Linked DNA regions of Saccharomyces cerevisiae S288C. The protein of the gene in region 1 interacts with the protein of each later gene in a pairwise test. Each region holds a gene or a part of one and is shown on either strand. Other genes may lie near its edges.

Region 1 (4,529 bases):
GCCATCAAAGATTTTGCAAAGAGATTAAAACATTACTATTCGCAGTTTACACCTTTCTCCCTTGATGAGTTCAATCAAATCCATCGATATATCAGCCAACATGAAGAAATCGATACGAGCTTATTTTTCTTCAATGTTATTAATGCGGGCGTCGTTGAGCCACATTCTTTAAATCAAAGTCATTACCCTTCAACCTGCGGCAAGCAAATTAGGGACACCATTATGGTTATTGAAAATTTCATCAATCACTATTCTCAGATGTTTGGTTTTGAATACATCGAAGCTGTTAAATTGTTTTTTGAAAGTTTTGGAAATAGCTCAGAGGAAACTTTAACTACACTAGACTCTGTTGTTAATGATAAATTTTTTGATGATTTGCAGAGCCTAATTGAAAGCAACGGATTTGCTTGACTGATACTTTACCATACGGGAGTTGAATATCGGTACTCCTTTATTATATTTATGATCCTCTCCAGAACTCCATCTACCTCCCGCCTTTTAATGACCATTTTTACGACCTTTTCGCATGTTTTTCTATTCTTTTACAGTTTCCTTGGTACCGCTAGTTACATTATGTTATCTTGAAAAGGCTACTATACACTTTTTTTGCACTACTGAAGCAGCTTTCAAAAGCTCTTTATAGACTTCAGATAGTATTACTTTTTCCTTAAAATTCTATCTATTTGTAAACGACCAAGAGTGTCATTATGTATACTATATATCAAAAAGTTCCATATGTTGTCTGAAGTTCCTTTTATCTTCCGCCTTTCTATCTTTCTGTTACAATTATTCAACAGCTTTATTTTTCTAATTTTGGAATTAGTTGCAATGCACTGGCACCGATGGCGTTTCTGAAACTAAAAATATTCTTCATGCCCTTTTATGAATTTAGGATACAATGTCCATTCCAATGTAAATAACGCAACCATAATCCAACACAATAGTGGGATATACTGGATTCCCACTGTGTGTGCAATAACTCCAGCCAAATATGGAATGGCTGCACCACCACAACCACCAACGGCGACGGCAACCCCAACCCCGCTCACATGTAGTCTTTTGGGCAATACTTGTAATGCAACTATACTTGCGTTTGGGAATAATGGTCCGATAAACGTACCACAACAAAAAACAACAAAAAATAACACGACGAAATAGAAAACTGAGCTTGAATTGATCAACCCAACAAGCACAAATAAGGTGTATGAAGATAGAGTTAAAAAAGCGTACGCTTTGCTTGCTTTATACTCGTTTTCGAAGAATCTTTCAGTAACAAATCCTAGACACAACCTGCCTACAGTCAAACCTGTCCAAAACGATGCCGCTATGTATGACATAGCAACCTTATTACTTGATTTAGTTTCCAATAAATAACTAAAGAACCATGAACCAGTTGTAATTTCAGCACCTAAGTAAAGGAACAAATACAATGAGTACAAGAAAATAGCAGGATTTCTTAAAAGTTCAAAAAATCCTGGGCTCGCCTTGGTAGATTCCATCAGCGAGTTATCACCCGCTTCTTCCACATCATTGTTGCTTTCTTTGTTTTCCACAGAGCAGAGGTAGTCGTATTTACTTGCAGTTTCAAATTTAAAAGCTGGGAAGATTACAATCATGCCTATTATAGAAAAGAACAGAGGAATAAGGAAAAAAAGAGACCAATGACCCCATTCAACAAAATATGAAACTAAGGGAGGAGTAACCATAGCTGCTGCCCCGTAAAGACCATGCATGATACCCATGAGTTCATTCTTATGGACTAAAAGACTGCCCATTAAAACATTACCGGTAGAATCTAAGATGCCGATCCCTAAACCAAGAGGAAGGCCACAAAACATACAAACATAGAAACTAGAAGGTGCAGTTGCTAAAATGATAAGAAATACTATACACAAACCAGCTGCTAGAAGCATACCACCTCTCATACCAAAGTGCTTATTCAATCTCTCTTTTGATAAAGACGCCATCACATAACCACATAATTGGACTATAAATACGTTTGAGACATCTACCCGCGATATATGATAGTATTCAATTAGCGTAGGAAGTAGTGCACCTACTGTTTGATCGTTCATACCAAAGACTACGAACATAATCAAGCATGCTATCACCTGCAGCTTTACTAGTGGTACAGTTTGATAGTTTAGTGGATATGTTTTAACTTTCTCGCCCTGCCAGTCAATTTCTTTGATTAAGTTTGTATTGTTAGGTAGACTATCTTCATCTTGAGAATTTCTTCTGGAGTCTGATGATGATAGCAGATTTTTCAACTCTATTGGGTTATGATGTGAAATTTCAGTTGTATACATTCCATAATCATCTACCTTTGGTGGAACCGAGGAAGCATCCATGCTGAAAACTTATATATGGATTAAATTATACTATGAATCCCTAGGATCTTATTCTTGGTTTCTTACTATAGCATTTTAGAATACTGTTGAATGTCTAGCTATGCATGATCGGAGAGTTTAAATTTTTCTGTCTCGGAACGTTCTTTTTAATTTGTCAAAAACATCGATATATAACGATGATTACTGAAAAAGGAAAACCGATTGATAATACATATGGTGCGATTGCTGGCTGAAGGCGAGTGAGCTATTGAGTGGATTTAGTTGAAAATCATGAGCTTATCACCACACGTAGAAAATGCTTCCATTCCCAAGGGGAGTACCCCGATACCAAAAAACAGAAACGTTAGTTCTATAGGCAAGGGCGAGTTTCTTGGATCTTCGTCAAGCAACAATTCTTCTTTTCGAATGAATCATTACTCAAATAGTGGACAACCTTCCGTGTTAGATTCTATACGGCGACCTAATCTAACTCCAACTTTTTCTTACAGTAATGGGGTTTATATGCCTGAAAGTCACAGAACTAGTTCATTCAACGATAGTTATTTGCCATATGATAAGAATCCTTACGCAAAAACAACCGGAAGCATGAGCAATAAATCGAACATGAAAATCAAAACAAAGAAAAATGCAATCAACACAAATACAAGAAAGTCGTCTGGACTCATTTACACCACCAAAGTGGATAAAGAATTATCTAGTATAGACAAAGTGAATGATCCAAACATTAACGGTCTTGTTTGTGCAGGTAAAACTCATTTGGGGCTCTATAAATTCTCGCCCTCAGATAGATCTATCAAATGCGTTCATGATTTCATAACACCTAATAGCAACACCTCAACAAGGGGAACGACATCCCTTTTGCCCAAGCTGAGCAAAAGAACAAGACAGAACAAATTTAGTACCATTGCGGATGTTAAGACTGGATTTAATAATTACAAGAACTGTATTGCAGTGTGCAACAATTCTACGGCGATATCGATATATGATCTCAATAAGAGTTCCTCGATAGACAATCCCTTGATAACATCCTTATGCGAACACACTAGATCTATCAATAGTTTTGACTTCAACATGGTCGAATCAAACCTAATAATAAGTGGTGGACAAGATAGTTGTGTAAAAATATGGGATTTACGTTCCAATAAATCTAAAAGCTCAAATAGATCTGACATTAGTATAAATACCGCATCTGACTCAATCAGAGATGTAAAATGGATGCCCGGTTACAATTTTGCATCTAAGAACGATCAAGGTTCATCAACGTATGGTAATTTAAAAAGCGGTTACAAATTTGCTTCTATTCACGATTCGGGATACTTGCTAAAGTTTGATCTTCGACAACCTGCCCAATACGAAAAAAAATTAAATGCTCACACAGGACCCGGTCTTTGTTTAAATTGGCATCCCAATCAAGAATACATTGCTACAGGTGGTAGAGACGGTAAATGCTGCCTCTGGTTTGTTGGCGACAATGCCAATGCCGCCGAAAATACAGTCCTCAATTACGGGAACTCTCCCTCGTTACATGCCCCCAATACGTCCTTGAACAATAGCGGCTCGCTGGCATTTCCCAAACTAACAATTAATACGGGCTATCCAGTCACTAAATTGAAGTTCAAGCCTGCTTATAGTAGTAATATATATAATTCATTACTAGGAATATCGTCAATGGGTGACGAAGCTGAAGTTCGCATCTATTCCTTGGCAAGAAAGTACATTCCAAAACATGTTCTCCTATCAGAAACGCCTTCTTTAGGATTAGTATGGTGGGACGAAAACTTGATCTTTAATATCGATAAGGGGACCCGTATAAATGGCTGGGACATTAACAAAGAACCAACAGTGCTCGAAAATTTGAGCAAAAATACAACAACTTGGAGAGATTTGGATGGTAACGGTTTACTTTCAGTTGACCAAGAGATAGGCTCATATGAGGTGGTAGAACCGGAGCTTCAACCTACCTCAAGTACCACATGCAAGAAGCATCCAGGTACAATAAAAAACCCGAAGAATGGCAATCCAGAGAACCAGGGAATAATTGGAGGGATAAAAAAAGGATTTAGCCATACTGGATTAACAAGTTTTACGCCAGAGAGGCCGCCTACTTTAAAAGCAGGCCCAACGTTTAGCACAAAAAGCTTAACATTAGCATCTGGAGCATCTTCTTTTAACAGCTCT
Region 2 (4,868 bases), on another chromosome or scaffold:
TTGCCTTGTTTCCGCTTCGTCATTACTGTTTCCCCCCAAGTCTGTGGGGGCTCCAACGTGCAATATGTCGTTGTCAATATCACTAGAAGTATGAGTTTCCACATTCAACTTGGTATTAGTAGTGTTAATTCTTTTATTAAAGCAAATAGTATGTGTAGATTGCAGGAGGTCGAAGCTCTTCGGATTGGCAAAATCAATATTCTGCTCTATAATTTTCACAGGTTTTGTTGGCAGTATTTGTGCAATTCCTGTCATTGAGTTTCTAAATACATTCTTTTGGTCATATTTTGAAGTGCTCTTTTTGCTTTTATGTACTTTTTTTGAAGAGGACGCATTCACATTTGTTACTTCCAATTTCTCTTCCTCCATTTTTGGCGTTTCAGAGGGCTTTCCGTAATAATCTTCAAAGGAATTTAAAGTAAAATTCTTAAAGTTGGACATCCAAAAGGATCTTCACAATATAAGCGTTTTTCTGTCCACCAGCTTCAACAAGCTTCAGCCTACTACCAATTTCTAATACTGTTTTATCTTATTACTTGCTTACTTATCCACTCCCATTGTTTTGTCCTAGATGACAGCATCACCCGGACTGAATATTAAAGCGTCAGTGTCACTTATTTTAAGTCATAATCAAGTCCTTTTAATGTGGCTATAGATTAACCCTGTACACTAAAGCTGTATATTATTTCCTTAAAGGAGCATTTATTCCCAAACTGTAACGCAGAATGTCATTCCAGAATCATGGAAAAAAGATTCAAATAAATAAATGTATATACACCAAAAATTACAACTTCGAATCCTATAGTACTTTTAATCTTTTTGAAAAAAATATTACTAAAAACTATGTATCATGTCCAAAGGCCATAGGGCCTAGCATTTTCTTTGTTAAAAAAGATAAACAGTAGAGAAATAAATAAAAAACGCCCTAACCCAACATATAGGACCTCTTTTTCGTTGGCCTAGTCAACTTTAATGGATGAGTAGATTTTTCTAACAAAGAGCATACTGCTGATAAAGCCAATTGACCCCGTTACCAAACAGCAGAGTAATGAAATGACTGAGGAGTATCCCACGTATAAGACAATAGTCGTGAATCCACCCAACTTAAATTTGGTGAATAAAATAGAATGAATAAACACATACAAAGCACAACCGGCGCCTCCAATTATGAATCCTCTCCATTGCCACTTCCAGTTCTCCAGGCATAAGGAATGATAAGTGATCAAAATAGTGACGAGTGAACTTGTCAAAGTTAATAGGAGGAAAGAGAAAAAGAGGAAACCAAACATGTAAAAAATCTTATTAAACCATAAACTTGTGTATATGAAATACAACTCAACGGCGATGGAGCCAAATGGAAAGATACCAGCAATCAAAGTAGCTGGTATAGTCTTTAAATACCAAGGCTGGAAGGGTATTTGTCTTGCGATTTGGTTTGTCTTGGTTGGATGTTCATCCCAGTGACATCTTTTCCTGGCAATCAATGAACCAGCAAATGATAATGGGATTGAGAACAAAAACCATAGAAAAACCATAAAAAACAGAGTACTTGCTGGTATGACACCAGAAGAATGAACAAACATTAAGAAAAAGTTCAACGCAATAATTATTAGCAGAATAGCACCAGGAACTAGAAGTGGAGTCAATATCAAGTTTGCCTTCCAGTATGGCCCATTGAAAAATTTGTAGATGCCCATAGATGTATAAGAGCCGACAAACCCGAATAATGCATATAAGATAAACATAACAGTGGCTAAGGAACCTCTAGAACTAGGTGATAGGAAACCCAATGCAGCGAAGAAGATACTGCAAGTTACCATCAAAAATAATTGAACTCCTGAACCAACCAAAATTGAAAGGGTTAGCGATTGACTTGGCGAACGAAAAACATCACCATGATTCAATTTCCAACCCGAATCTTCTTGAAAATCATCGTCCAAATTTAACTCGTTGTAACGTGCGAAATCACTTTTCAGTGCGCGCAATAGCGAATGGATAACAACAGATGACAATAAGACAACAACTAAGGAGAAATTTATCAAAGAAAACCATTGAATAGAAGGATCATATACGTGTAAATATTTGTCCCACCTGGTGGCCCAAGAAGTCGCTGATTCATTGAATTTAACGGAATAAGTAAAATAAACTTCATTATCATTTCCTTCGTCTAGCATCAATGGGCTGCCAGTCGTTTCACATGTACCTGGACTGGAACGTTTTATGGAAACCGGTTCGACGATAACACCAACTACACGATAGTTACCTTCACCACGATCGTGATATTCAATCATAATATCGAAATGGTTGGCAAAGTAAGGCAATTCGTAAGTTTTCACCATGTTACGATCATTACGTGTTTCCAATTCCACATCCTTATCGGTGGTTTCTGCCCCTTTTGGAGTAGCCTCAATGTCGGTTCCTTGAGTTACCTGTACAAAACCAAGGTTGAAGCCAGCACCATAAAAACTAGTCTTAGTTCTGCCATCATAAACCTCTCTTGCAGCCGGTAATCCATCAATAAGCCAGTTTTGGAAGAAGCCATTTTTTATCAATTTATTGATGAATTTAGCATCATCTCCCGGAATTACGGTCTTACACAGGGATTCACACTCTTTTTCTTGTAACATATTCAATTGGAATGGTGAATTATAAATTCGATCACCAAATATAACGGATCCCAAGGATTCAGGTTGCTTTTCGACTTTTTCAGGCTGACAAAAATGGAATCTATTGTAATAGTAGTCGTATGAGTACAAGAAATTTTCTTTATCGCCAGAAACGTTATTACCGTCCTCATCTTTGTGTTGATAATTCATTGATGGAGTTAAATGATTAACGAGCAATGGGATGTTGTCATTTTCCCTGTAAGTGGTAGGCGCTACACCTGGTAAATAGAAGGCTTTGACTGTTGACACAAAAAAATACAACAACAAAAGCTGTACGTGTGCCATTTTGTAAATCATTCTGTTTTGTTTTCCTTTCGGTACTTGCTCTCTGCTACTAAATTAATATCTGAAAATATAACGGTAGCAGATGAAGGAAAAGCTGGACAAGGAGCCAAAAATTAACTTAACTAACGTACCAAAAAAAGATACAAATAAAAACAACAAAGCAGTTCAAAAACCTTGAATTACCTTTTTGTTTATCATTAGGCCTATTTCTTCGAACCGATGACATTTTTCATGGCTTCACCAAGTAAAGAAAAATTGCCGTGAAAAAAATTTAAAGGGCTGTAACCCGGACTTTTGTATTATAAGTTAAAATCACTCATTCTCAGGCAGTATTGGTAACATTCCAAGTGACTTCCAATACGTGTTGAATTTACTACTAACATTCCAGTGCAAGTAGTAATTTTTATTAAGTTTTGATCAACTTAGGATTTTCCTATTTTATTTTTGTTTATTATATTAAGTGTTCATTATTTTAAGTAGTTATATATTATATAATACAACCCCGATTAGACAAACTTCATAAGTTTTTCGGGTGGGACGGTATCAAGCATTTCATTCTCATCAATTCGCGGTTTAATGGGCTTATAATCACCCTCTGGATCCTTAAACACGTAGGCAAGAATGACGCCTGCAATACCAAGGACAGAAACTGTCCCTAATGCTAGTGCAAGACCAATTAAAACGACAAAACCACGACCTATTTTCTTCTTCTTCGATTTTGATTTAGATTCACTGCTTGCCGATGAAGATGGAGGCTGGGATGATGTTGACTGAGGACTTGTCACAGTAATGTTCACATTGGCAAGTGGTGACTGAGAGTTGAATTCAGTTGAAACGTCTCTATTAATAAAAATTATTGGATTGTAATTGGAAGTATTTGTTGTTTCTGAAATAAAATATGGGGTCCATTTTTGGAAATCAAACAACAAACTTTGTAGGTATCCGTATTGCGAAATATTAAAATTACCATTAAGTAAGAGGATACTGCCATTATTAACATTGTTGATTCCTCTCTTGTTCAAAGTGTTGGATTCAATATCTGTGTATATAGCTGAAACAGAGCTAATAGAGCTAGCATTGCCAGGTAACGAGGTAATATTCCATTCTTGGTTTCTATAGATAAATAATGAAGTATCATTCCATGCCACTATGGAGTCTTCAGTGACAGTAAACGAATTCAGTTTCCCTTCAGAACCACTCAATAATGGAATCATAGTAGAATTGGTTAAGTTAAAGGATCCTAAACGTATAGATTGGTATTCTTTTGTTTCAAAAAGGCCTGAGATAATTAATTCTGATGAGTTGGTGAAGGAAAGTTGTGTGATTTCACCAAAAATCGTGTTATTGAGGAAGGTAGACCAAGTTTTGCTTTCATAATTGTATAGACATAATCCGGTGCAATTCGGCTCAGTCATTTGGAAATCTCCGCCGACAAGCATACTACAGTTTTTTTCAAAGTTAACTAAAGCATTTATTCTAGCATTTGATCCTAGTGTTTCATTAGCAATCATGGTCAAATTTCTCAAATCAAAAATCGACAGTTCTGCTGTGGTTGAAGATCCTGCACTGACAGCTAGTAAAGTTTGATTATCAGCGTATAGCATTTGAGTAATACCGCTAGACCAATTCCAGGAAGGATAAACTTCATTAGAAAAATAAATTTTGTTTAGAGAATCCACCTCATATGCATATGCCGTGGCAGACTCATTTAAATAAGCTCCCAGGTAAGGTACAATACCCCCTTCTAGGTTAAGTGGCTCTATTTCATTTTCGTTCAAAAAACGTACAGACCCATTCAAATTACCATATTGCATATGAGATACTGCACCTGAAAACAAAACATCGCCATCGCCATTGTTACCAGCCGCCCAAAGTGATAGACTAAAGGAACTGGAGTTCCGTATAAGCGCATTGGAA

The links.
Region 2: the proteins of BSC6 (region 1) and EMP70 interact in a protein complementation assay, tested with the Saccharomyces cerevisiae proteins (one large-scale study listed by BioGRID).

What each region holds. Positions count from the first base shown.
Region 1 is NC_001147.6:63,443-67,971, reverse strand, and holds BSC6 (Bsc6p), read right to left. Parts: upstream 2,352-4,529; coding exon 858-2,351; downstream 1-857. Other genes in the region: PFK27 (6-phosphofructo-2-kinase), read left to right, coding at 1-411; RTC1 (Rtc1p), read left to right, coding at 2,622-4,529. UniProt on the Saccharomyces cerevisiae protein: Probable transporter.
Region 2 is NC_001144.5:293,132-297,999, forward strand, and holds EMP70 (Emp70p), read right to left. Parts: upstream 2,964-4,868; coding exon 960-2,963; downstream 1-959. Other genes in the region: SRL2 (Srl2p), read right to left, coding at 1-441; RAX2 (Rax2p), read right to left, coding at 3,458-4,868. UniProt on the Saccharomyces cerevisiae protein: With TMN2 and TMN3, plays a critical role in the late stages of a nutrient-controlled pathway notably regulating FLO11 gene expression. Acts downstream of RAS2 and TOR. Essential for cell adhesion and filamentous growth.